Coturnix japonica: one gene and its partners. The protein of the gene in region 5 interacts with the protein of the main gene of each other region in a pairwise test. Links are inferred from orthologs where the notes say so. Each region holds a gene or a part of one and is shown on either strand. Other genes may lie near its edges.

Region 1 (4,071 bases), on a different chromosome or scaffold from region 5:
AGTCTTCAGCTTCTTGCTCTGGGGCTGAGGGTCCTGTGGGGCAGAGCGGGAGCATTAGGGGGGTGTGGGGTTGTGATGGGGGGGCACAGGGAGAAGGGACACTGCAAAACAACACGGGCACACAAGAAGGGAGCTGAAGAGCCGCAGGGCTGTGCAGGTCCTATGGCCAAACTGAGCTCCCCTGTGCCCATAGTGCAGCACAGGGCAGAGGAACACAGCTGGGATTAACCCCAGCCTGGCTTATAAACATGGCTGCTTTGATTCGTCCGAATGGACAGGGGTCCCCGCGGGCACGGATCGACATCACAGAGCAGCAGCGCAGGGGGCCCTGTTGGTGGGGATAATCCCTCCCTTGCAAGGCAGGCACTGAAAGCTCTCTTTTGTCCTGCCTGTCTCTAACACGGACCGAAGGGAAGCAAAGGAGAGGCTGCCCCATGCGGCTGATTCACTCCCAGTCACCTTTGGAGGGCTCAGATTGTACCTGAGCGGGGACTGAGACCTGGGGAAGGCTGAAGGGGAAGGGATGCCTCGTCCTAAGCTCCATCGCAGCTGATGCCGCCTCCTTTGTCAGCAGCCACAGACTGAAATCACCCATTGATCCCTGTCTCCTCTCGGCCCAGTGCACAGGATGCGTTTTCTGAGCTGCTCATGCGTGACGGGCAGCAGGGACAGAAGGAACAGTGCAGAGCCCAGGGCGGCAGAGGAGGAGCAGCGGGTGGATGAGCCTCAGCCCCCTGCTCACCTCCTGCAGGACATCTGTAGGCCTTGATTTCACCGCACGTTTGGTTCCTGGCTTTGCAGGCTCTTCATCTGAGTCGGAGTCCGACAGCAGCCGGCGGTTCTGGGCCTGCTCCAACATGGCTCTGCAGGGACAGAGGGCAGAGCTGGGGGTGAGGGATGGTCCCTGTGCTCCCTGCTGGATGCTGCTCCCCACTGCTGGAATTCAGCACCAGGACCCAGTCTATGTCCCACACACACACAGCCCTCAGGCCCTGCCCTCACTGCACAGTCATTGGGGTGCTGAGCAGATGGTAAGATGGAGCCCTTCCCCATAGGGCTGGTTTCACACCCATGGCAATGCTTCCAGCCCGCTCACTTCATCTCCTGCTCATCCTCCTCCTGCTCCCTGCGTTTCTGCTCCTCCTCGTATTCCTTGTACTGCTGCAGCATGGCCTCGAAGTCAACGTTTGCCTGGCGCTGGTTGAGCTCCTTCAGCTCCTGTAGGTTCTCCAGAACTTCCATCTCCAGTTTGGAGTCCTTGGTTCGGTTCTCCAGGACCTAAGGAACCAGAAGGAAGCTGGGTCTACACAAGGCAATAAGGTCCAGCACAGCCTCATGAGTGTGGAGAAGCGACGAGGCGACCTGCTGAGCAGGTACAGCCAAACAGGGGAGGAGAGAGCTTTGCCTTCTGCAAACAGCATTTTCCAGTACCTTCATGGGGTTGTTCAGCTCCTCCTCTTCCCTCTCCTTCTGCATCCTCTTCTCCTCTTCCTCCAAGAGCTTCTCAGCTTGGAAATTCCGAGTGGCTCCATGTTCCATGGTGTAATCCGTGTTCTCAGGGTCTGTCTAAGGGAAAAGTAAGGCAGCAAATCTTGGAGCAATTCCACCCCAGTCACAATGTGGGGCAGACAAACACCTGCAGCCTCCTGCTCTGCTCCAGATGGACTCAGGGCTCAGCCTGTGCTGGGACAGCCGTGTTCCCCATCAGACTGAGCTCAGACCCACATCACCTCCCCATGAAGCAGAAGAGGAGAAATCAGTGCCAATATTTCACCTTGAAAGTGGTCTCTGCCAGACACCATGTGCACTTGACGTAGAAGCGGAATATGGGCAGCCCCAGATACACCTCATTCTGAATAGTCTCCTTCTGGGCATTGAACTTCTTCCACTTGTAGATGTATTCACCGCACGTCTTGCAGCTAAAGGAGGAGCCCAACATTAAGAGATAAAAGAGACAGCACAGACCATGAGCACATTCACCCCTTTGGATACGTGGAACCTCCAGCCCCTCTATCACCCATACAGTCCATTCCCTCTCCCTCCTTCCTTCCCTTCTCTTCCTCCTTTCCTTTCCCTTTCCCTTCCTTTCCTTTCCCTTTCCCTTCCTTTCCTTTCCTTTCCTTTCCTTCTCTCCTTTCCTTTCCTTTCCTTTCCTTTCCTTTCCTTTCCTTTCCTTTCCTTTCTTTCCCTTCCCTTCCCCTTTCCTCCCATTCCCTTTCCCCTTTCCTTTCCTTTCCTTTCCTTTCCTTTCCTTTCCTTTCCCCTTCCCCTTTCCCTTCCCCTCCCTCTTCTTCCTCCCTCCCCTCCCCTCCCCTCCCCTTCCCTCTCCTCCCTTCCCTTCCCCTCCCCTTCCATTTGCTGGCTGTATCCCTCAGCTCTATGTAGGGTCTATAACACCCCCCCACCCCTCTCACCGCATGTTGAACGGGGCCATGAGTCGCACCACGTACTGTCGATCCTTCGGGAGCTTCAGCTTCGGGATCTTGGCCGGATCGAAATCCGGCGGGTAATATTTCTACACGGACACAATAGAGCGGCGCACAAACGGACACACGGTCACCGATCAGCTCCTGGCCGGGCCCCGAGGCCTGTCCCAGCCCCCAGAGCGCCCCGTGCCCACCGGGAGCCCTGAGGACGATGTGGGGCCCCCATAGACCCCCCAGGGCACCCACACAGCCCCCAACTCACGTTTAAGACTTTCCGTTCCGACATGGCTGCGCACCGCTCTCAGCTCACAGCGTACACGGAGCTGTCCGCCGCCGCCCTCCGCTTCCGGGATAGGAATCCCGCCCCCTCCGCCTCTCATTGGTGGAGAGAGACGCGGCCTGAAATGATCTCTCGTTTTATTGGTTGATTCTGACGCCAATCAAAGAGCTCAGCCCACTTCCCGGATGTTAGTGTGCCACAGCTTAAGAATCCGCCCTGCGCCGCGGCCTGAAGAAAGGTTCCGGGGTGGAGAGGGGACGGGACGGAGCGGGGGGTGAAACGGGACATGGGGGGGTTGGGCCAAATGGGAACCGAACCGGGACCTGGGGCCCAGGTCAGAACATGGGGGGGGCACAGAGGCTGTCAGCAGCGTGGGGGTCTGGGATGTAGGGCCCAGTGTAGGTGCTGGGGGGCACAGCGCCCTCCTTAGGGACCGTGTGATCTATAGGGCCGATTAAAGCCCCCCTGCCCTCCAGCTGCCCCCACACTGTGCCGGCCCAGCTCAGCGCCCCACAGCATGTATGGCTTTACAGAGAACATCACAAGTGTGGGGCGGGGGCAGAGTCCCGGGATGGTTCATTTATGGGCTGTGTGTGACCAGAGATGGAGCCCCTCCGGTACTGCCCATGCTTGTGTGCCTCAGTTTACCCCATCCCATCCCATCCCATCCCATCCCATCCCATTCCATCCCATCCCATCCCACCCCATCCCACCCCATCCCATCCCATCCCCAAATCCATCCCATCCCATCTCATCTCATCCCACCCCACTCCATCCCACCCATCCCATCCCATCCCACCCCATCCCCATCCCATCCCATCCCAATCCCATCCCATCCCATCCCATTCCATCCATCCCATCCGCATCCCATCCCACCCCATCCCACCCCATCCCATCCATCCCATCCCATCCCACCCCTCGCTGCCTCCCTTGCTCTGAAGGTTGGAAACTCCCCCGGCTGTGCCTGAGAACCAAATCCAGCCTGGGGATGGAGTGACTCAGTGCCTTTGTCTCAAAGGCAGTGATGTCATCTAACCCCTGAGAGCCTGCTGTCCCTCCCCAGCAGAGCCCAGGATGGGAACCTGCCGGCTCCAGCACCTCCGAGGCTCCTGGGCCAACCCTGTGCTTCATCAGCAGGGTGGGAGAGCCCAGTTTATCCCCACAGGCCCCACTGCACCCCACAAAGGCAGCAGCCCATGGCCTGGTGCTCTGTCCTCATCGAGCCCCCCAGCCCAGCACTCCTGTCCTCGCTTTGAGGCCACACAGCTCTGCTTCCACTGCTCCCCGTGCAGTGATGATGGTGGATGGGAGCAGGGTTGTCCTTCCAGGAGCAAATAGGGCCCGGGCTGAGCACAGGAGCTCCAT
Region 2 (3,500 bases), on a different chromosome or scaffold from region 5:
ATATTTTTAAGCTACAAGAATCCAGAGAAATGTAAAATCATACAATTGAAAATAACATTGTGTTCTTTCCCAGACAAATCTCAAGTGTCAGTATAAAGTAAAGAAAGTAGTGGGTGGTAAGAATGTGTTACAGATGAGACTTCAGCAATACACAAAACTACAAACTACACAGCTGCACCGCTTTCATTTAGTTACTCCACAGCAGGAGTGGAATAGCTCATGTAAAATACATCATCGACATTTCTACATGAATGAAAGCTACATCTTTAAAGTATAGAGTGAATATTCAATATGAAAATAGAAATTTTAAACAAAATTCAAATTATTCCTACGCGCTTCTTCAGAATTCTGTTCGAGTCAGCATTTCATTTGGCATCAATTTATAGTGATCTAAAACAAATGGCAGCAGCACAGCAACAAACGATGGTCTAACGAGGAATGAGTACCTTTATAATTTCTACGGTATCTACCTGTATGAAAACATTTAAAACTGAGGCGTTTTAAATACAGGAAATCTTTCTATTGACTGTAATAGTCGTCCTAGAAGAAAAGCCCTTCCTATTTGGAGCAACAATTAATGCTTAACATTTAAAGCTTTGTCCTCAGTAACATTTATTCTACAATCATATGCTCACTTTGTTACATGTTGTGTACTTCATACATCCATTACATACACGAAATGTTTTAATTTATTTCCAACGAGTACTAAGAACAAATCATGTCTCAAGTATACTAAACTGGTCACATTTATGTTGCTCACGTAAGTTTAGTCTTTGATTGTACAAATAGTTCAAAATTCTGCATTCAGAAGTCTTAAAATAGTTACATTCAGGTTACATTCCATCACTGTTACCTAGCTGCATCATTTTTCAATTCCATCAGTGGGTGATCAACACTAGAAAGATTATCATTTCTTGCATACGTGTAAAATTTACTCCTTAAGTATTGATTTGCAACACAGTAGTAACACTGCAGGTACAGAAGTAATGCTTTCTTATCAGGCATGTGAAAAGACTAACTCTACCACAGTTGATGCTGGTGTTTACGTAGAAGGCTTCTCACATATCATTTCAGTCCACAGGGGGTAGATGTTTGTCTATGAACTGCTTTATATCCATCATTTCCTGTTCAAAGATAAAGGTACGTATGAGTCAAGTTCTTTGTTAATACACATTTACTACACATAATGTTTCAAAATTTCAATTATTGTGAGCAGCTGGGCTGTTGAATGTTTAATTAGTTATTTGACATGTTTTAATCACATTTGCATGTTTTAATCACAGCAAGTCAACACTGCTAACTCTTCAAGGCACTAAATGTATCTTTACAGAATCACAGAATGACCCGGGTTGGAAGGGACCTCAAGGATCATGTAGTTCCAACCCCCCTGCCTGGCAGGGCCACCAAACATACACCTTTACTAGATCAGGTTGCCCAGGGCCCCGTCCAACCTGGCCTTGAACACCTCCAAGGACGGGGCATCCACAACCTCCCTGGGCAGCCTGTTCCAGGGCCTAACCACTCTCCTAGTAAAGAACTTCCCCCTAACATCCAACCTAAATCTATCCTCTTTCAACTTAAATCCATGTCCCCTTGCCCTGCTATTATCAGCCCTTTCGAAGAGTTGACTCCCGTCCTGGGTGTAGGTTCCCTTAAGGTACTGAAAGGCTGCAATGAGGTCACCCCGCAGCCTTCTTCATGCTGAACAAGCCCAGCTCCCTCAGCCTGTCTTCATAGGAGAGGTGCTCCAGCCCCCTGATCATCTTTGTGGCCCTCCTCTGGACCCTTCCCAACAGCTCCATGTCTTTCTTGTACTGAGGGTTCCATACCTGGACACAGTACTCCAGATGGGGCCTCACAAGAGCAGAGTAAAAAGGGACAATCACTTCCCTGTCCCTGCTGGCCACCCCTCTCCTGATGCTGCTCAGGATAACATTTGCCTTCCATGCTGCAGGAGTGCACTGCTGGCTCATGTTAAGTTTCTTGTCCACCAGGACCCCCAGGCCCTTCTCTGCCGAGCTGCTCTCAAGAACCACTCCTCACAGTCTGTACAGGTGCCTGGGGTTCTTCCGGCCCAAGTGCAAAACTTTGCACTTTGCCGTGTTGAACCTCATTAGGTTCACCCAGGCCCACCTTTCAAGTCTGTCAAGGTCCCTCTGAATGGCATCCCTTCCTCCCTCCGTATCAACCGCACCACTCAGCTTGGTGTCATCAGCAAACTTGCTGAGGGTGCAATCGATTACATCATTGATGTCACTGATAAAGATTTCACTCTTTACTCACATAGTACTAAGTGTTATAAGAAGGAGCACATATTTACACATTTGAATTATTAAATCAACTCAACTGTTTGCTGATCCAGAGCCATAAAAGCATGTTTTGAGGCTGCCACTTCCCTAATATCAGCCCTCCTTCCACATTTTTCTGATGTCTCCATTCAAAACCATGCAAAATTCTCCTTGAAATACCAAGTTGCATTGGCACTGCGAGAATTCTATCTGCCTTCTAATTCAATAATTATTAATGTGATTAACACAGGTTAGGAAAACAAATTAGAAATAAGATTGTTTTATAGCTCAGCCATCCCAGCCCCAAAAATACATTCCTCTGAGGAATTTCCCACTGGTCATATGAACTTTTCCCTTGGATGTTTTTTCAGACAGGCATTGAGTTAAACAGTAAAATAAGTCAGTGGCATCACAAACTTTTAATAGAAAAAAATACAATTAAATTAAAATGCCCTGTAATTGTTAGGAAAAAGTAAAATCATACTTAGCTAAAACATTTATATTAAGAAAATTACCTCAATACATGAACTATGCATCATGCCAGAGTAAGTTTTGAAGGTTATATTGGCTGGATTTATCATAGTCTTTAGCTTCTCAACAGTAAGAGAACCAAACATTAAAGGAACAAGTGGGTCACAGTCCCCATGGCACTGAAGTACAGGAATCTCCTTGTTGACACCAACAGCACCCTGTCCAGGGTGGGAAGAGAAGAAGGAGGAAATAAGTGGGGTGAGATATCATATGAATACCATGTTAAGCAGATGTAACCACTGAGTACTTCTTCAATTCCCCTTCTTGCCAGAATTTAAACCCCCAGTGCCCTACTCTGAGAATGACTGAGTTATCCAGCTGCAGTCTGAAGATACAGCATTCAGATACACTCATTTTGCCTCAGCAAAACTGCTTCAGAAAGAATAAATAAATACCTGAACAAAAGAAGTCCGTAGAGGAAGCCAACAGCTGAGGGCTACAACACCTGCTAACTTCTGATGTGTTGTAAGGGCTGTATACAATGATAAAGCACCACCCTAAAATAAACAGATCAGTATTAGAATAGTGAAGGTAATGTCACTTCTAACATTTGTTTCAGGATCTTTGGTTTCTCTTTTAAAGAACTTCTTATATTCCAATTCATTCTTCCTTAGAATCAATACTAAAAGCAGTATTATATGTACTTATTGTGCATTTTTTTCCCCTCCAAGCCCATGTGAT
Region 3 (4,023 bases), on a different chromosome or scaffold from region 5:
TTACAGCAAAGAAAATAATCTCATACTCAACCAGTGACACCATCCTACCCAGCAAAAATCAAATTAAGTACAAATCAAATACTGGGCAGGGTTAATTTCCAGCCTGCATGTTAATCTCAGAGCAATCTCACTGAAGTTCAGAGTATAATCTATGCTACATTGATGTGAAATGGGTGTAGGGTCCACCTCCTTCTTTTGAACTTGATGGAATTCAGCAGGGCTGATAAAGGGCCTTTTTCTTCTGAAATCTGTCATTCCAGTTGGCTGAATAAAAACCATTATGGGGTGTGGACTTCTCTCTTTCTTTTTTTTTTCCTTTCCCTTAATGAAAGGAGCGTTTCATGAGCTTTGAAATAATTTTGCTGTTTCTCCCTTCCGCTGTGCCCTCTCAATGGGGAAATGGAAAATGAAGGGGAAGCCAGGGAAGAGAAGAAGGAAAACTACCAAAGTTGCTTGATATGACACTTGAATATCTTTCTTTTGGATTGCAATATGGCTAATGGAGGGAGAAAGGCATATGTTTAAAACTCCCTTGCAGTTCTTTCTTCTTGCAAGAAGCATTTTGTCCATCTATCTGCAATATACTTAACCTTTCAGATATGTCTCTCAGTTCAGTGCATGTTTATGGGAGGAACACTTGTGTTGCACTGAGAACATGCAATGAAATGGGCATTGGGTGGGCTCTTCTATTTGTCACATAAGTTGTGTTTGCATGGCCTGCAGGAGAACACAGCTCCTGGCTGACTTATATTTCGGGTCAGCTGTGTTCTGGTTGGAAAACATTGGTTGTTTCCAGCTGTAGATGGATGGATCTGACACAAACCCAACATCATCATCAAAATAAAGATAATAGGGGTCTTTTAAGCCTAGTATTATCCCCGTGTTTCCCCTCCCTGTTCTATTGAATGCAGCAAGCCCTCGGGGGAACCCGGTTTAAGAATGCTTTATTCTAGGCATTCATTTGAATGATGACCATAATTATTTCTGTACATGTGTATGACCCAGTTAACAAACCCATCCTCGGCATCCCATGGTCTCTCTGACCCTGCCCATCTCAGCAAGGAGGTAACCTCAGCTCCTGGCAAACTTATTTTTGAAACAAGCGGTCGAACTGGTTACTGCATCTTAATGAAAATCATTTCTTTCTTTCTTTTTTTTTTCTTCCTGAGCATTTCTATGTATATAAACAGCCCTTCCTCCCAAACCTGGTTAGACAAGAATGTTGCTGGGTGTGGACCGCCTTGTATAATTAACTGCACAGCTGTGGCTTCTGATCCCTGGTAACGTCTGTTCCTTTCTTTCCTTCTTTCTCCCTGCCTCTACCTAGCATTATCCAGAGCTCATCTCCTCCTCCTTGCAGGAGCTCCAGGTGCGTCATTTGGGCAGCAGCTTCCCTGCATTCCCCCGTCATTCCTCATTGGGACGGCCAGCAGACAGGCACACGGCCACAGCTGCTTCCAGGGGTCGGGGGAACAGCACTGGGGGGACAGGACAGAGCCGAGGAGCTAAGAAGCCAACCTGCTTTGGTTTGACGATGGAAACAGGGAGTGCAGCAAGGACAAATGGCACTGCTGGGAAGCCAGAGGATGTGAAGAGTCCGTCCGCCCCCAAGAAGGATGAAGAAGTGAAGAAGACGACGAATCCTAGCGGAGGCGAGAAAGAGCCAATAAAGGGCACTGGAGGTACCTCCCTGGAGACCGGACAAATCAAGAGCTCTCTCTTCTCTGGGAGTGACTGGAAGAGGCCCATCATTCAGTTTGTGGAGTCGTCCGATGAGAAGAGATCGACCTACTTCAGCATGGACTCGACAGACTCTAAGAAGATGCCATTTGCCAGCGGACAGATAGGAGACATGAGGAGAACCCCACTCTCCTTTGCAGACAAGGGCGACCTCAGGAAGTCCCTCTTCAACTTGGATTCCAAAAAGAGCTTCTTGCCTAACGAAGGGGAAGGGAGGAAGCCCTTGTTCTCCAGTGGGCAGATAGGGGACATGAAGAAACCATCCATGCCTCTGGTGGAGACGGGAGACCTGAGAAGACCCACCTTCAACAAGGTGCCTGACAGAGCAGCTGGCTCACGGCCCAGGGTGAAGCTGGAGGATGTGCTGTGCGATTCCTGCATCGATAACAAGCAAAAGGCCGTCAAGTCATGTTTGGTGTGCCAGGCTTCCTTCTGCGAGCTGCATCTCAAGCCTCATCTGGAGGGAGCAGCTTTCCGGGACCATCAGCTCCTCGACCCCATCAGGGACTTCGAAGCAAGAAAATGCCCTGTGCATGGGAAGACCATGGAGCTGTTCTGTCAGACAGACCAGATGTGTATCTGCTACCTCTGCATGTTCCAGGAGCATAAGAACCACAGCACAGTGACGGTGGAGATCGAGAAAGCAGGCAAAGAGGTAACATAACACTTCTCTAATTGCTTTTTTTCCCCCCCTAATTATCTTTCCAATGGAACTCAATGTCACTACAGAGCTTTTTCTCTCTATCCTATGGCCTCTCCTAAAATCATGGCTGCAATATAATCCTGGGATGCAAGGGAGGTGGTTGGGAAGGCATACAGATCAGTACTGCTCAAGGTTGTGGTTACAACAGAAAACTGTGATCTCAGCTCCCCGGTGTGAGCTTCTGCTTTCTTGTTTGTATTTTCTGTTATGGAGATAATGATGTTGAGCCCCACCTGTAGGAAAAGTCTTTTGAAGCTTAGATGATGAAAAATACAACTTAGTGCAAACATAGAGCGATTAATTTTTTCCCTGAAGTGTTACTGCAGTCGTCTCAAAAGATGGACATCTAAAGAGATGGGACTGGCGTGTGAACCAGTGCTCTCTCTAATGAAAGTCTTCCACTTTTGTTTGCCTGAATTCTCACTCAAGTTTGCTTTCTGGGTGGATGCACCATTATCCCACTTGCTCCAGTGAATGTCAGGGTCCCACTACATTCAGTTCTCCTCAGGCTGGAGACCTTGTGGTCTATCCAGACAGGGAAGGAGAGATGACAGAAAGGAGACCCATAAAGCGGTCACATAAAACAATTTGCCTAAAGTTACAGCCAGCCCATGGCAGGAGCTGGAAGGGCACCCAGACCTGCTGGATCCCAGCCTTAATCACAGCCCAAGAGCTCTGATGTGGTGAACAGGCACGTACAAGTACCCACTGTTGGAAATTCTTGAGTTACACGTAATTCAGAAGAACAGTTTACAGTGCTAAGAATGTTTAACTCATAAAGCTGGAGGAACATCTCTTTTTTTAGAGCTTTTCTGTCTCTCCTTGCACAGTTTTTGGTGTTCTCATGCAATGCCATCTTCGCCTTGCAGCCTGACTGGAACCAGACAAAGCTTCTCCCTATATTTAGATGAACCTACACCACCTTGATTGTACGTAGGCAAGCAGAGCTGGGTGGAGGAACCTTCACCTAGGATTTAAATGGTGTTTGATTTCTCTCCCAGAGTGTTCGTGCTGTTCTGGTAAGGTCTGTGCTTGCCCTGTGCTGATTCTGCTGCTGCTAAGCCCACAGGATTTAGGGCTTTATCAATGAATCATACACATGTGCAAGTTTCTCCTGACAAGGAGCCTTGGTCGTGTTGTAACTTGAGGGAGTATTCACTCAGACAAAACCAATTAGCAGGAAAGCTGTTGCTTACAAATGTTTATTCCTAGCCCTGAACTATTCTCCATTGGTGGAGCCTTAGCAAGAACCACAGGGAGGGACGAGCGCTGCCAGGTCCCTTGTGTGCATCACCTCTTCTTTTCAAGTCTTGCAAATTGACTGAGCTGGAAGACGACCACAAATTGGTGGAGTGGCAAAGCCTTTCTTTATGGAAAGAGTGAGCAAAAAACCCCACAGTGGGGGAACCCCAACCCCATCGCTGCTGCTGTGGCATCACTTGGCACTCAGCAGGGTAGCTGTAATGCAATAAGGTGTATTATACTCATGTTCTTTCCATACTGCAGAATTAATGCAGTTTACAGCCCCTTCCATGAGGCTGATACAGGCCTGTAGGGAGGAAAGCTGCTGTATTGTGCTG
Region 4 (3,500 bases), on a different chromosome or scaffold from region 5:
GCAGGAGAGCTTGGGACTGGCAGCTTGGTGGTACCCAGCAGCTGATGGTGAGCTATGGAGAGAGCTGGAGGAGCTTTCTTTGCTTCCAGGAGGGCTGGGATAAGGTTGTTCCTTGCTAAACTGAACTTTTATTCTTCTCTTTTATTTAATCTTAATAATATTGAGGCAACTGTCATCCACAACTGAGGTTGCTTGGGTTTAAAAAGAAGAAGAAAACAAGGTGGGGGTGGGGGGGAAAGCACTGTGTGTGTAATAAGTTGATCCGGTATAATGTGACATGTGACCTTCTTAGGGGATGTGCCATCTTACCCCACTTCATCGGCTTAAATGCAGTAGATGCACATAATCAGCTGGTACTCGGCTCTAATGGGATTACAGTGACCTGGGCTACGTGTATATGGTATTTACACTGCACGCCCACCAAGGTGCTTTTAGGTTAAATGAGAGCTGGGGTATGAAACCAAGGATTTGACCGTGTTACTCGGTGTCCTTAAACCACCTGCCTGATGGTGGCCCTGTCCTGCTGTGCTTTGCTCCTGCTGTGTGTCTCCATGTGATAACTGCTGTGGGACTGCAGTGTAGGGAGAAGCAGTTCTTAGAGCATAAGACTGCCTCATATTGTGCCAGGGAAGGTTCAGGTTGGATGTTAGGAAACATTTCTTCTCCAAGAGAGTGCTTGGGCACCATCATAGTTGTCTGTTGAGGTGGTGGGGTCACCATCCCTGGAGGGAGCATGGAGATGTGGCACTGAGAAATACAGTGGGGTGGGATGGGGTTGGGGATCTCAGTGTTCTTTTCCAACCTTAATGATTCTCTGGCTGATCATATGTAGGAAAGAGGTGTGAGTGCATCCCATCCAAAACAGAAAGTGAAAGTTCCCTAGTAGATTTAGTACCTGAATATGGTGTGTTTGGAATAACCGAGCAACACTGTAGGACTTTCCTCCTGCTTTTCTTTTTGCTATGGGAAAATGGCCCTTCAAGCTTCTGATGAGGGATGGCCTCCTGCAGTCCCCATGTGCTTCTGTCCTCAGGAAGGAGCTGCTTCTCCCCTTGTTCATGGCAATGAGGTTGGATCTGGAGCCTCGCAGCACCCAACACGTGCAGCAGCGTGGCAAGCCTGGGGAGCTGACCCTCGCCCAGCTCAGTGATTAGCAGGATTGTGCTGCTCCACGCAGCAGAAAGCTGGCCTGTAATTTGCAGCCCAGCTATGAATCAGAGTGACTGAAATTGCTTTTTGCAGCGGTGGGGAGGCGGGGATGGTTTGCAGGTGGGTGGAGGGAAATGCTCCTCTCCCATCTTTTCCCACACCAGTTGTGAGGCTCGTGCTCCAGCAGCACTGTGATTGCTGGGGGGAGGCAGATGCAGATTGTTTGCATCTCTTTTTCTTCCTCTTTTTAACCAGTTTCCTGTACACACATGAGCTGGGGCAGCATCACAGAAGGTCTGCATCACCAGTGCCTGTTGGTCCTGCATCCATACTCCCAACCAGGAAACCCAGAATCACACAGTGCTTACGATCCCATTAATGCTGGGTGGAGCAGCTATTCATAGCAAGTAATCCAGTGACCTGGGCTGCAGGCCACTCTGTGTGGGTTCTGCCCCCAGCCCCTGATGGTTTATTAGCTCTTGGCTTTAAAAATAAACCAGGATCCCTCGGAGCTTTATGAGTAGTTAGTTGTGCTCCGTGGTTATTCTTGGAGTGGAAGCACAATGCTGAGTCCACAGAGAGCTCATGATGTGGTGCTCAGCTCTCTGCTGTCCTTGCCTGGCAGCATCCCAGAGCTGGGAGAGCACAGCAGGAATAGGAGGGTCTTTCTTCATTATAGAGAGGATAAAGGCTGCAGCCCTTGGAGGTATCCCAGCCCCTCTTTCTGCTGAGCAGGTCAGAGTATGAAAAAGGAGGGGATGCTGGTGTTGTACAGAAGGGTTTCAATGGGGCTTCTCTGCTGCTTATTTATAATCCAAACCCTTGCACTGATTTCCTCAGTGCCAGTGGATCCATTGCTCTGCCTCTATGGCACAGGGCACCAGGTAGCAGTGCAGAAGCGGGGTCACAGGTGCTGGAGGGGATCTAATTAGTCCCCTTTGTCCTGAATTTAATGCTAGGCTCATTAAGGGTTCTGCAAAGTTAATCAGCGTGCCACAAATTGGATTTTAATTTTTTTCCCCCCTGGTTCTGCAACCAGAGCAGTGCTGCTGTGGGGATGTGGGTCCCATTAGTGTCCCCGCATTGGCGCTGTGTGTGTATGGAGGGTGTGGGTCTGGCCCTCGAGATGCCGTGTTTAAACTCATTTACCACATGATCAGGTTGATAATTAAATTCATGCGGATCCTGTCAAACCAGCTCCGGAGTTTAACACTTCACTTAAAGTACCAGGGTGCTGTAAAGAAGCAGCAGGAGGAAAAAAAATCACTATTCCCATGGGTGGCTGAGGCTAAACGAAAGAATCCTTCACCTGGCTCCCATCTCCAGGTGTTCCCATAACTATTGAGCAAATGGGAGTGATGAAATGGGCAGCTGGATGTTACTTGATAGGGTGGTTCTGGTTGGAAGGCATCATCCAGTTCCACGGGTCCATTTGGTTTTAGGAACGAGGAGTCCAATGGAAAATAGAAACAAACCTGCAGCCCGCACAGGGCAGTGTGATTAAAGATGTGCATGTTGGTTTGGGGGGTGTGTAATGGGGGGGTGTTTGCACCCTGTGGGATCGTTGCTGGTTTGCAGCTGTTGGGAAACAATGCCGTGCACGGAGCAGCAGGGCTGGGGGGAGAACAGGCAGAGAGTAAAATATCATTGCAAAGAGGAAGTGAAAGCACAGGCATGTGAGTATATAACTAGAAGGACAATTTATGCCCAGGCACGAGTGCAGTTTGACATGGGGATAATGAAAAAACGTAGGTCATTGTGGATGACTTAAGCCTTCACAGCTGAAGAAAATGTATGAAATGCGAGGAACATTACACGCTTGGCAGCTCTGCACATCTGCAGTAGGACAAGTGAAATACAGTTGGCCATTCTTTACCATAAACTGTGGTTGTAGGATATGCAGCACAGAGAAATTGTAATTACAGTGACAAGACAAATCAGTAATATTTAAATATTCATGAACAAAGTCTTGGACGATCAATCTATCTTTATTGTCCTTGCCTTCACTGCCGTAATAAATAAGTAGCTGGAGCTCTCACCTTTCATTCAAATGATTCTGAGTTTGGTGCTGAGCCCAAGTTCATTTATCAGGGTGCTGAGCAGCGCTGCGGGGCTGATGCAGGCAGAGGGCTCTGAGTGTGCAGCACTGAGCTCCTGCAGCCCCACATGCCTGCCATGGGGCTGACCCATATGTGCTTGCAGGTGACCACCCCTATGAATGCGAGTTCTGTGGCAGCTGCTTCCGAGATGAGAGCACGTTGAAGGGCCACAAACGCATCCACACCGGGGAGAAGCCCTATGAGTGCAACGGCTGCGGCAAGAAGTTCAGCCTGAAGCACCAGCTGGAGACC
Region 5 (3,500 bases):
ACCTTCTCCATCTGTAGCGTTCAGTTCAATGCGCCTCTCCACTGGCAGTGCGTTTTCATTCTGGCTTGCTAACAGCTCTGGGTTTTGAGCAGCTGCTACATACTTGCTGTACCATTCATTTCTTTCCTTGACCAGACGCATCACTAAATCCTGCAGTTCCAGTAATTTTACCTGCACCAAAGCAAAGGAAAACTTAAGCAGCGTGCATATCCAGCTTGCTGTTTTGCCACTGTTAAAACTTCAAAATTAAAGCCAGCTCAAGAACAACAAAGGAAGGTTTACATTGTGCAGGTATCCCCCAGGCCTGCCTATAAGTGTATGCTGTGTCTGTAGTACTACAGAAGAGATTCCTTGCCTTCATCTCCTCCTTATCCTGAGCCAGCCTGCTGATGTACTCCTCTTTCTCCTGGTGCCGCTGTTTAAGGATAGCCCTTTGACTCTGGTATAATGCTATATATTCCCCTGGAACACAAGAGAAGCATAAGGAATAAGTGAGATTGATGTACAAGCCATACTGTGAGCATAAACCTATGCTGCCTGAAGATCCAGCTGTGGATTGGAAGCCTAGCATAGCTAGGTAGCAAGACTTGAACCATTCGGCATGTGGCAGACTCAGATCCCAAAGCCCAGGTTTGTGTTGTGTTGTATAAACGTACCAATGGTGTCTGTTTCCCCAGACAGCTGTATGCAGCGATGTTCCAGCTCTTCCAGCCGTTCCTTCAGATCAGCTTTCTCCTGTATCAGATCTGTGAAACGGGCCTGGACACAAAAATTGGTGTGAGTCACCTCAGCTGCTCACATATGGGAATACCCGTGTTAAAGACAGCACCCTCCATTCACAGCTGTCTGAGCCCAGGGAACAAATTGTGCTGCCTTTACAACTACTCTGATTTGGCAGTAAAAAGGAACAGAGCTACAGAAGGCAGAGCAAAGCATCTCTGCATATTGGGAAGCAGAAGGACTGAGGGAACAAAGTGCCTTCTCATTGCTGGGCCAGCACAACTGTGGTCACACTTAGTCTGCAGATCTTGGAGAGATCTGCTTCGTCTCAGCACGGTGAAGTCTGTCTATTTTTCATCTACTTCTTTAGGAAGAGACCAGGAATGGGCATTAGGCCCTTACAGTCTTTGGGCAGGGCAGGGGAAGCTCAGCTATGATGAGACAAGTCATGAGGAAAGCCACTTCTTAGGAATTAGGTTATTATCATGGAACAGCTGCTACTTATTCCCCTGCAACACGTGTGTGATTCAAGAGTCTGGCACTGGGTGCAAATTGAGCTAAGTGAGGCAGAGGGGCAGAAAGAGGAGACCCTTTGCTTACCTGTAGTTTCTCCATGGCAGTTTTTAAAGCCTCATGAACCTCTACTGGAACACTACCCATAGTGGAATCTGGAAAGGACATTTGTAGTTGACAGTGCCTGCTTAAGCATGATTCGTTCACAAAACCCATAGGACTGTTTCACAGAGGTCAGGGCCAGGTTGGGGCACATCTCCATACTCACACTGTACCCAAGATTTACCTTCACTCAGTGTGATGTTACGCTGCTGCTCCTGCCGAAGAGCTGCTATTTGCTGCAGGAGGTTTCTGCACTGCTGCTTCTGAGCAGCCAACTGTTGCCTCATCTCTTCTCGTTCCTTCTCCACTTGGGACATGGCAGACGTCAAGAAAGTCACCTGAAGTGAATTGCAAAGGACTCACGTTAGTGATTGTCCTGTGTGAAGTGTGATCAATTGTGCATCTCATGGTAAGGGGAATAACAGAAATTAACCCCATTTTACTTATGGATAGGAAACCCGTCAGACCAACCCAGGCAGCAACTACTGCGTGTCTTGTCAAGTAGCACAAACCGTTTCTTCTCTGCAGGTGAAACCTGAATTCCCACTGTTTGATCACAGTATTTTCCGCTTACAAAAACAAATTAGTGACGTTCAACACCACTTCCTAATTGCCTTCCAAAGTGAGGAGAACATCAATCATCACAATAGTTAGAGCCACTCTGCCAGCTGGCTTGTCTTTGTAATTAACCATTGCTGGACTTCCAGCTTGTTTTTCAACCATACTGTAGAAATCCTCTTGGTTCTTTTGCTGCTGTGTGAAGGGGACTGTAGCAGTTCTCTGTGCCTCAACTGCGGGGAGCACAGCTGGTAAACAACTTAATACACACTGCAGAACCTCTGCAATTCAATCTGCCTCCTCTCCTAGACATTTGTTCACAACTGAGAACAAAGGCTTTTCTACCCATTGAGACCCACCATTTCTTCATGGCTTTCAAACTTCTCTGGGATCACAAACGAAGGGTTTTTCACTTCTTCAGCCATCACTTCACTTTCAATTCCATCTCCTGGAAAGGAAGGGAGGTGAACAATGAGGTGAAAATACCCCTCAGAGCCCAGTTCCACCTCCCGTCCCTGGAGGGCAGCTGCAGCTACGCACCTTCTAGTCTGTGCAGCATCCTGCCATCCAGCTCTGCTGCTAACTGACTGATCTGGGCCTGCAGCTCTTTGTTTTCTTTTGCTACAACTTCCAGACTTTCCTGCAAGTCAGAAGCAGAACGTCAGTGAGAAAAGCTCCTCACCGAAACCCGCACAAACCAAACTGAAAACAGTCACTAGCAACAGCACCACAGAAACAAGCACACAAATAGCCACAATTATCACTTGTCTCTAATTCACCTCTATTGCACAGGATGTGGTGCAATTAAGCATTTTGCCTCCAGTCTTTCCACTTGCCCCTCTTTTATTACCTTCGTCTGCTGCAGTTCCTTCAGGTGCATTTCCACTGTCACCTTCCCCTGAACTTCCTCATGCTGCAGCCTGTCCATTAGCTGTGTCTGAAGCAAGTATTGCTTTTGCAGCTCCTCCTTCTCAGCAGCCAGTTGCTGGTATGCCACAGTGTACTGCTGTAAGTGGCCATAGAACTGATCCCGCTGCTCCTGCAGAGCCCGAGCCTCCTGTGTTTTCAGTTCCAGCTAACAACACATGATACAACACATGAAACAACCATCAGATCAAATCATTTCTGCCAGAAAAAGATGACAACTCGTGTGGCACCATCCAAACTGTCAATGCTGCCCCAAAGCCACCACCGAGGCCGGCAGCCACCATCTGTCCCCACATGCTGGTCCCCCGCATCAGACAGCAGGTGACACGGGAGGGCTCCCAGCTTGATCATTAACAATACCAATTTCCATCTTTCCATCAAAGTTTGGTAAGTTGCCAGCTCTCCTGTGCACAAACTGTTGCACACCTGCCCTGCTGTCCCTCTGCTGTTGCTTACCGTCTCTTTGAGCTCCCCCAGGTTCTCCTGCAGCTGCCCAATCTTCTTAGCCAGCTCCTTCTTTACGTGTTGCTCTGACTGCAGGGCACTTGTAACCTCCATGTTTTCATTTGTCTGCAAGAATCAAAAGCATCATAGAAGGAAACTGCCCCAATCACCATAAGTATTTGCTCACATAAGCTAAATCAGTAAACCACATTAATTCCTGATACAGTGGGATACCA
Region 6 (3,938 bases), on a different chromosome or scaffold from region 5:
AAATCCTGGCTTAAGAACCAAAAAACCTGTCCTGCCTATGCTCCACCAAAGGCTGGAAAAAAAAAGCTCAGAAACTCTCCGTGCTGTCATGGGCATCAGCACAAGCGGAACAGATAGAGGAGAGAAATGCTCTGTGTGTTGAATAGCAAAACCAGCCAGCAACTTGCACGTGTTACCAAGATGACAGCACCTGTGTCCTTAGGACCACAGCAGGCTTCTATCACTGCATGTCCCTTCTTCCACAGCACCTTGCTCACACCCTCATGGCTGGGTGCCACAGCCTCACCTTCTGCAATGACTAGTCTTTGGGACTAAGGAAGGTTTCAAAATCCTCACTAACACGGGAACATGAAATGAGGGGTAGATATATTTTGCTCAGACTCCCTACAGCCTATGCTGACACAACATATTCATATGTAAGGCTGAGATAACATATAATGGCAAATGTTTTGGAGAATTGGATAGGGCTTTTTATTTTTCATTGCATATTATTTCTGAGCATTACATTCTTGTGGACCACAAGGAAAGGTCCTTGTTTTCCTCTGCCCTATAGAAAGCTGGAAATAGCCCTTTGGAGCCTGTGGTGACACAAGAATAGGACCAGAATGAATACTGAATGGCAGCTTCCAACAAATTCTTTGAAATAAAAAAGCATGAGAATCTGTATTGTTCCTTTTCAGATGCTTTGAGTTGTTATTAGAGAGTACCATCCTCGTTGTAGCTTACTTTGCTTATTCTTGTTTTCTTAAGAGAGATGCATGTGTTGGAATTGCTTTTGACAATCAGATCCAGATGTTTGCTAGGTCAATTTTACATTAATTGACCTTTCTGATTTTCCACGTCAATTTCTGCTGCCATGGCTGGTGGTGAGCAAACACAGACCCCAGAGCATGGTGACCTACCTCCCAGCACCTCGCAGTCGCTGTCAATGCTGTCGTGTACCCCTGCAAAGATGTTGGCCAGCGACGATTTGCCCACACCTTGTTCCCCAATCAGCACCACTCTGTAGCAGTTGCTGCAGGACTCAGAGGAGATGACAGAGTCAGATGACTCCGAGGACCAGCTCCTTCTGTAGTATTCATCAGGACTGATGGTGTATCGCTTCTGCACATTGTACTCATTGGAGTCCTTCTGGACCAACAGGTTCTTCCCATCAGCAGGAATGCTCCATCGCTGCTGCTGCTGCTGCAGGCTGCTGTGGTGGGTGCGACGCATGGTAACGTTGTTGAGGGTCATTTTTTTACCCCTGGTGAGAAATGTGGAAGCCATACACTTTATTCTCAAAATACTTACAAACACACCATCTCAAGGCATCAGGTCCTGCTCTTCTATGGGGATACAGTATGCAACAACAACAACAAAAAAGGAGACTCCACACTTTTGCAGTTGCTAGTACTAGTATGCAAAGAAATATTTCTAGCTTGTGAGTCAGAGGCTTTTTCCTGGGGATGATGCCACCCCCATACACTAATCCTCTCTGTCTTTAGCCTGTACATGTTTCCTGTAGTGCTAAGTGTATGGGCAGGGAAGCACTCAGCAGAGCTCACATATGGCTGCATCCCCATCAAGAGATGGGCAGCACCTGCAGGCAACGCTCCCTGCCCTCCTGCCTCCTGGGGCAAGCAGAGGGACCCATCCCTCATACCTCAAACTCACAATCTTACACAGCTCCCATAGGAGAGGAAAGCCATGCAAGCAAGCACATGTCTTTGGGTCTCATCTATGTCGGGATAAGCTTAAAACAGTGGCTTTCTGGCTGCTAGCAGGGACACAACCAAGTCCAATGACTTTTCAGAGGAGGTATATGTTCAAGCCATTACAGAAGGTGGCACTGGCAGAAAAAGATCATAAGTTTACAAATACTAAATCAGAAACTTCATCTGTTTCACAATTAGCTAATAGGTTAGCTCTTCCAACCTTAGCATGGCCCCTAATTACACTTAAATTAGCAAACTCAGTTTTGAGCGGGTTGGCGGCAGAGCACAGTGATGTCATTCTCACGGGCCACCAGCTACCATTTTTAGGAATGTTACTTCTGTGGCTATTTGGACATTTTGCTTTTTGGAGTATATCTGAATTTTATCAGCTCTGTTCTCCATGTCAGTAGGCAGGAGAGCTGCCCATGAAATGAACTTTCAAACTTGAATAACAAGCGGTGAATGAAAACAAGCACAGCAACACATGAAAACAACATGTTCGGATCACTACTCCTTTTCACACAAAGCTATCTGAAAACTTCTTAGAATGAACATAGATCAGGCTGGAGAATAAGCAGACCAAAACCACTTTCTATCTGATCTTATTACAGCACTCACAGTACTTACTCTGTGACACGCAGTGCTTAGTGGCAAAACTAGATTCTGACAAGAAACTAGGCATCAAGCAAAGCCTGCTTCACAAAGTCAGATAGGAACCGCAGTTTGATTTACCATGCATTACTTTCTTTCAGTTTCCCCAGTGAAAAGACCAGATGAGAAAAAGCAATTCCAATTCAGTCAGATATCAGAGCCCAAACAAATGATGACCATCAATAAACAATCACGTCGCAGTCCAAGCCCAGGTTTGATGGCATGCACTGCACTCAGCTGTGTGGGTCTACAAAGCCACAACAAACCCCACAGACACAGGACCCAATGCACAGTGGCCAGAGATTCCTTACTTGTATGTGACCGTCCACGCTGTCAGCTCCGGATTCGCGCTGCCTTCCGCTCCGTGGGCTGTGTTACACTGAGCTGCTCTGCCAGAGTAAATCCCCTCCCGCTTACGGGCTGCCTCTTTAATTCCTTCTCAGCGAACCTGGTTTATATTAAGCCCATCTGATCGGAGACAGGGCTTTTCCGTGACGTGGTTGGCCTTTCCATCCAACAGCCAACCCCCAACTGGGAGGAAGCAGACATGCAGAAAAGCAAAAACTTACAAACAGCCTCAAAAGACTTACTTGAAATCATATGATTGTCTTGGTGTTGCCAGTAAAACAAACACATTTGGGGCTGACATGAGGAAAACAGGCAAGTGGAAAAATTAAAAAAAAACATGTCCTTCCATCTTGCTCAGTTCTGCATTCAAACGCCAGCAGGATTAATGGTGTTTTTAAAACTACGTGTTTCATTAATGAATATAATGCAGTAAATGTGTGATGTTCTCTGTCTGCAAAATGCAGTTAACTCCCCACTGGACAAGATGTTTTTTTGTGGAATAAAAGATCTGAATATCATTTTAGAATTATCTCACAAGCATGAATATTATTCTGTTGTTGTTTTGTTTTTTTTGTTTTGTTTTGGTTTGGTTTATTTGTCTTTTAAAGAGATCCAAAACATACAATCCTACTTTTTCCATCACCTTCCAAGGCTCTACCAGCCATCTCCCACCCCTGCTGCAGCACTCCTCCTGCAAGGGCTCAACAGAACGGCTGCCCACAGACTGAGTGCTGCTCCAGCTGGACGCCAGCAAAGACGGATGTGAATTACAGAGCACAGAGCCCGGGCGACACGGTGCAGATTCTGTCTGCAGTTTATTAGGAGAGATGGCTATACAGTGTATGCACCACAAAGCATGTGCCTGCTCCTCAAATGGTGCCATTTCTAACAGCCTGTGTGGAAATCACAATTAACAGAGCAAAGAAATAAACCTCCACAAAATACTTGGTAGGGATACCATCAGTTATACAGAAGTCTACAGCAAACTCCCACTATTTTTCCTTCTTTTTCCAAACCTGTGACTGCCCTTCCCCTGGCAGCTGAGCTTTAGCACCAGCGCTGTGCAGGGTGGAACATCCCTTCCCTTGGTACTGCCTGGCACTCATGTCACAGACTTCTGCATTTTTGTGTCTCACATAAGCCTTGTACAGAACATTTCCTCTGATAATGCAGCCCTTTATGAAACTCTTCCACTGAGATATGCCTGATTTCTCTCCCCTTCAGCTTTGTTGCACTTCTGCA
Region 7 (3,442 bases), on a different chromosome or scaffold from region 5:
GCACTGCGCTCCCTGGGCTCAGGGTGACCCAGGCTGGATGTGGAGCTCTGGGCCGCGCTGCTCTCATGTCTCCTGTTTTTCTTTAGTCCCACTGACCGTCTGGTTGTCTGTGCAATATTCTCTGTTTATTCCGGAGCCTTTTGTAGCTGGGGTGGAAAACCAGGAACAATTCTAACATCTGTAGTTTTGTAACTTTCTCCAAACCTTTTACAGACTTGCAGTTAACAGCAATTAAAGGAATTCCGCACTCACCACTGTGTCCTCCTTCCTTTTCCCCTGCCCTGGGCTGGGGGCAGCTGCCTCAAGGGGATCAACTGCTTTATGTTTCTGCTTTCCTCCCCCTCATCCCAAGGGAAGTTTGCCTACAGGGGGTGGGAACATGGGGCTGCTTGGTCTGTTCTGTTCCCTGCTGAAGGCCGGGGGTTGGGAGGGGGCAGGTAAAAATGGCCTAAAGTGAAGCAGCCCTCAGCTCTGCCTTGGCAGCACACGTGAGGCCGAACACGTGGGAAACACATCCAAATTTATTGGCATCCTCGAAGCAATCTGTCCCCGGGGGGGAGCAGCCGAGCGCTCCTCAGGGTCCGGCCAACCAGGGGTGTCTGCTGAGCCGCTCCACCGACGGCCGCAGCACCATGTCTGGCTCCAGGAGCCTCTTCAGGAGGTCCTGGCACGGCCTGGAGACCTCCAGGTGCCTGGGCAGGGAGACGCCTTTCTGCTGCTGGCACAGCATCTGCGGGATGTTGGTGTCGTCGAAGGGCAGGTGGGCGCACAGCAGGACGTAGAGGATGACGCCCAGGCTCCAGATGTCGCCCTTGCAGCTGTCGTGGGGCACCCCCTGCAGCACCTCGGGGGCCGCGTAGGCCACGCTGCCGCAGAAGGTTCTGCTCAGCTCTCGGCTGCCCACGGGGAGCTGCTTGGCGAAGCTGAAGTCCGTCAGCTTCACGGTGTGTCCCTGCAGCAGCGCGTTCTCGCATTTGAGGTCGCGATGAGCCACCCCGCAGCCGTGGCAGTAGCGCAGCGCCTCCACCAGCTGGCAGAACAGCTCCCTGGCGCAGGGCTCGGGCAGGGGACCCCTGTGTGCCACGTAGTCGAAGATGTCCCCGTTCTCGGCCAGCTCCATCACGAGGCAGATATTCCCCTCCGCCGACTCCAGCACCTCGTACACGTGGATGATGTTCTTGTGGTCCAGGCGCTCGATGATTTGGAGCTCCCGGGGCAGGAACTTCTGAATGAACTCTGCCAAGAGGGGGAAAATTCACTCAGTTCCTGAGCTGCTGAGCCCCGGCATCGCACCGGGCTGCGGCCACAAAGTGGGAAGGAAGAAGGGTTGTGCCAGGGTGCCTGGCTCCAAGCAGGGCCCTTGTCGGAGGGGTCTGAGCTGTGCTGCTTTTGGCCACCTTATGGCTGGAGGAGCCGGATGGACACCCCATGGCCTGGCTGCTCCGAGCTGCCCCCAGCACCTCCCTGCCCCCAGCACCTCCCTGCCCTTCCTGCTCTTGGGTGGAAAGTTTGGGAAACTCATTTTCTGCCTGGAACTAAAAGCTTCCAAGGAGGGGTCGGTACCTGGGAGCTCTTCAGGGGCAACTTCTTACCTTCTGGACTCGCCCTTTTATCAATGATTTTAATTGCTACTTTCTTCTGGTGCTTTTGGGAAAAGGCCTCCTTCACCTTGGAGTACGTTCCCTCCCCAATGGTTTGGCCGAGCTGGTATCCGCTGGCGAGCAAAAACTCCTCCATGTCCTCTCACAAATCGGGGCCGTTCAATCTCAGTTTTACCCCCAGCAACTCGACAACAGCATCGCAGCAGCCAGGGGCTCCCCGTGCTCCCTGTTGGCACGTGTAGAGCCACCAGGCCCTGCTCCTGCCCTGGTGGGAAGGGGCATCGAGGCGCCTGTTGTAGCATGGGCGTGTTATTGTGATGCAGCCGATGCTGCATGAATCCCAGATGACGGAGGTGCATCAAAGTGGGCGACAGCTCGGCCAGGCAGGGGGGAATTGGGCTGTGCTGGGCAGGACCTGCTCGGTGGGCACCGTGAGTACAGGGGGGTCACAGGGTCCATTCTGTTCCTCTCCCGTTTTCATCGGGGTGTGGCGGGGGGGCTTTAGGAGCTGCTGCTCACACAACACTTTGCTGCTGCAGGGAGGGGACCCCAGGCTGCGCCCATGAGCTCAGAGCTGTGCTCACACCGACCCACCGCGGCCTCACGTCTGAGCTGAGTGTGTCCAGCTGCTCCGGCGCCTGCAGCCCAACCAGGCCGGGCTCCTTCACAGCAGGAAGGTGCCGGTGCCGGGATCGCAGCCAGGCCCCGCTGCAGCTCCCAGCTGCTTCTCCCTGTGCAGAGAAAACCGGGCCGGGCCATGAGCTCCCAGGAAGCGCCGCGGGCCCGGAGGTTCCCCATCGAGGCGGGCGACTGTTGTAGTGCGGCCGCAGCTTTGGAGACACAGCAACGGGTGGGCACAGCGTGGACTGCGGGCAGGTGAGGGTCCAAAGGGGCTCCTGTGATGCTGCAGGTTGTGCTGTACTGTGCTGTACTGTACTGTGCTGTACTGTGCTGTGCTGTACTGTGCTGTACTGTACTGTACTATGCCGTACTGTGCCGTGCTGTGCCGTCCCTCTGACCCCTGTCTCCCCGCAGGCAGTTGCGGCGCTGTCCCGCCAACCACCGCCTGACGCTGCCGCACATCCCCATCAACGTGTTCATCGCCATGGGAGGGAACTGCCGGCCCCGCAGCACCTGAGCGGCCCGTGATGTTTATGCACTTTGTAAAGAAAGGCCCATCCTAACGCGATCCCCGCCTGCTGCTCCTTGTGTGTCCGGCCGTGCGGCCCAACGCGTCCCGTGGGCTCCCGGGGCCGCCGCTCCCGGCTCAGCTCGGCCCGGGACGGAGCTCGGGGCTGGGGGGTGCAATGGGGGGGGTCGTGTCGGCGCGTGGGCACGTGGCGGGACACGAGGATCCACGCGGGACCCGCGGCCGCGAGTTGAAGCCCGGCCCCGCCCCGTGACCCCGTTCGGGGCGTTGCTCTCCGCTCTCGTCCCGCCGCGGTCCCTCTCGGCCGCCGTCCGCCGCTCCCCGCCCTCCCGCTGCCGCCGCCATATTGTGGCCGCCGCCGGAACGTCCGTGTCGGGATCCGCGATGGGTGAGAGCGGCGGGACCGGGCGGGGCGGGATCGGTACGGTACGAGACGGCGGGGCTGCGGCCGTGTCCGCACTTGGCGCTGCCGGGCGCTCGGTTGGCGGCACTGACTCAGCCCGGGGCCGGCAGCCCCAGCGCGGCCGTTGGGCTCCGGGGCGGCGGCGGCCGGAGCTGCGGGAACCGCGTGTCGGTTGTGTCCGTGTGTCTGTCGGTGTCTATCCGTGTGTGTCCGTGTGTGTCCGTGTGTGTCCGTGTGTGTCTGTGTCTGTCCGTGTCCGTCGCTCTTTGGGCCGTCCCGCGGTTCCGC

The links.
Region 1: the proteins of GOLGA2 (region 5) and YJU2 interact in binary tests that used the Homo sapiens proteins (3 or more experiments, as listed by UniProt). The two-hybrid records come from large-scale screens. The link is inferred for Coturnix japonica from reciprocal best matches to the Homo sapiens genes GOLGA2 and YJU2.
Region 2: the proteins of GOLGA2 (region 5) and LYPLA1 interact in binary tests that used the Homo sapiens proteins (3 or more experiments, as listed by UniProt). The two-hybrid records come from large-scale screens. The link is inferred for Coturnix japonica from reciprocal best matches to the Homo sapiens genes GOLGA2 and LYPLA1.
Region 3: the proteins of GOLGA2 (region 5) and TRIM29 interact in binary tests that used the Homo sapiens proteins (3 or more experiments, as listed by UniProt). The two-hybrid records come from large-scale screens. The link is inferred for Coturnix japonica from reciprocal best matches to the Homo sapiens genes GOLGA2 and TRIM29.
Region 4: the proteins of GOLGA2 (region 5) and ZBTB16 interact in binary tests that used the Homo sapiens proteins (3 or more experiments, as listed by UniProt). The two-hybrid records come from large-scale screens. The link is inferred for Coturnix japonica from reciprocal best matches to the Homo sapiens genes GOLGA2 and ZBTB16.
Region 6: the proteins of GOLGA2 (region 5) and GEM interact in binary tests that used the Homo sapiens proteins (3 or more experiments, as listed by UniProt). The two-hybrid records come from large-scale screens. The link is inferred for Coturnix japonica from reciprocal best matches to the Homo sapiens genes GOLGA2 and GEM.
Region 7: the proteins of GOLGA2 (region 5) and TSSK3 interact in binary tests that used the Homo sapiens proteins (3 or more experiments, as listed by UniProt). The two-hybrid records come from large-scale screens. The link is inferred for Coturnix japonica from reciprocal best matches to the Homo sapiens genes GOLGA2 and TSSK3.

Annotation. Positions count from the first base shown.
Region 1 is NC_029543.1:756,138-760,208, forward strand, and holds the start of YJU2 (splicing factor YJU2), read right to left. Parts: upstream 2,801-4,071; 5' UTR 2,713-2,800; coding exon 2,689-2,712; intron 2,516-2,688; coding exon 2,415-2,515; intron 1,920-2,414; coding exon 1,775-1,919; intron 1,567-1,774; coding exon 1,432-1,566; intron 1,279-1,431; coding exon 1,097-1,278; intron 864-1,096; coding exon 743-863; intron 34-742; coding exon 1-33.
Region 2 is NC_029517.1:99,796,605-99,800,104, forward strand, and holds part of LYPLA1 (acyl-protein thioesterase 1), read right to left. Parts: intron 3,317-3,500; coding exon 3,215-3,316; intron 2,978-3,214; coding exon 2,804-2,977; intron 1,125-2,803; coding exon 1,071-1,124; 3' UTR 1-1,070. UniProt on the Homo sapiens protein: Acts as an acyl-protein thioesterase. Hydrolyzes fatty acids from S-acylated cysteine residues in proteins such as trimeric G alpha proteins or HRAS.
Region 3 is NC_029539.1:3,276,284-3,280,306, forward strand, and holds the start of TRIM29 (tripartite motif-containing protein 29), read left to right. Parts: upstream 1-1,223; 5' UTR 1,224-1,280; exon of another isoform or gene 1,281-1,360; 5' UTR 1,361-1,534; coding exon 1,535-2,395; intron 2,396-4,023.
Region 4 is NC_029539.1:3,817,701-3,821,200, reverse strand, and holds part of ZBTB16 (zinc finger and BTB domain-containing protein 16), read left to right. Parts: intron 1-3,351; coding exon 3,352-3,500. UniProt on the Homo sapiens protein: Acts as a transcriptional repressor. Transcriptional repression may be mediated through recruitment of histone deacetylases to target promoters. May play a role in myeloid maturation and in the development and/or maintenance of other differentiated tissues.
Region 5 is NC_029532.1:3,750,313-3,753,812, reverse strand, and holds part of GOLGA2 (golgin subfamily A member 2), read right to left. Parts: intron 3,391-3,500; coding exon 3,277-3,390; intron 2,969-3,276; coding exon 2,744-2,968; intron 2,534-2,743; coding exon 2,434-2,533; intron 2,342-2,433; coding exon 2,253-2,341; intron 1,674-2,252; coding exon 1,520-1,673; intron 1,389-1,519; coding exon 1,321-1,388; intron 760-1,320; coding exon 657-759; intron 463-656; coding exon 356-462; intron 172-355; coding exon 3-171; intron 1-2. UniProt on the Homo sapiens protein: Peripheral membrane component of the cis-Golgi stack that acts as a membrane skeleton that maintains the structure of the Golgi apparatus, and as a vesicle thether that facilitates vesicle fusion to the Golgi membrane.
Region 6 is NC_029517.1:114,174,241-114,178,178, forward strand, and holds the start of GEM (GTP-binding protein GEM), read right to left. Parts: upstream 2,801-3,938; 5' UTR 2,660-2,800; intron 1,247-2,659; 5' UTR 1,237-1,246; coding exon 903-1,236; intron 1-902. UniProt on the Homo sapiens protein: Could be a regulatory protein, possibly participating in receptor-mediated signal transduction at the plasma membrane. Has guanine nucleotide-binding activity but undetectable intrinsic GTPase activity.
Region 7 is NC_029538.1:4,558,886-4,562,327, reverse strand, and holds TSSK3 (testis-specific serine/threonine-protein kinase 3), read right to left. Parts: upstream 2,046-3,442; 5' UTR 2,033-2,045; coding exon of another isoform or gene 1,997-2,032; 5' UTR 1,996-1,996; coding exon of another isoform or gene 1,946-1,995; 5' UTR 1,830-1,945; coding exon of another isoform or gene 1,738-1,829; coding exon 1,593-1,737; intron 1,237-1,592; coding exon 575-1,236; 3' UTR 501-574; downstream 1-500. UniProt on the Homo sapiens protein: Serine/threonine protein kinase required for spermatid development and male fertility.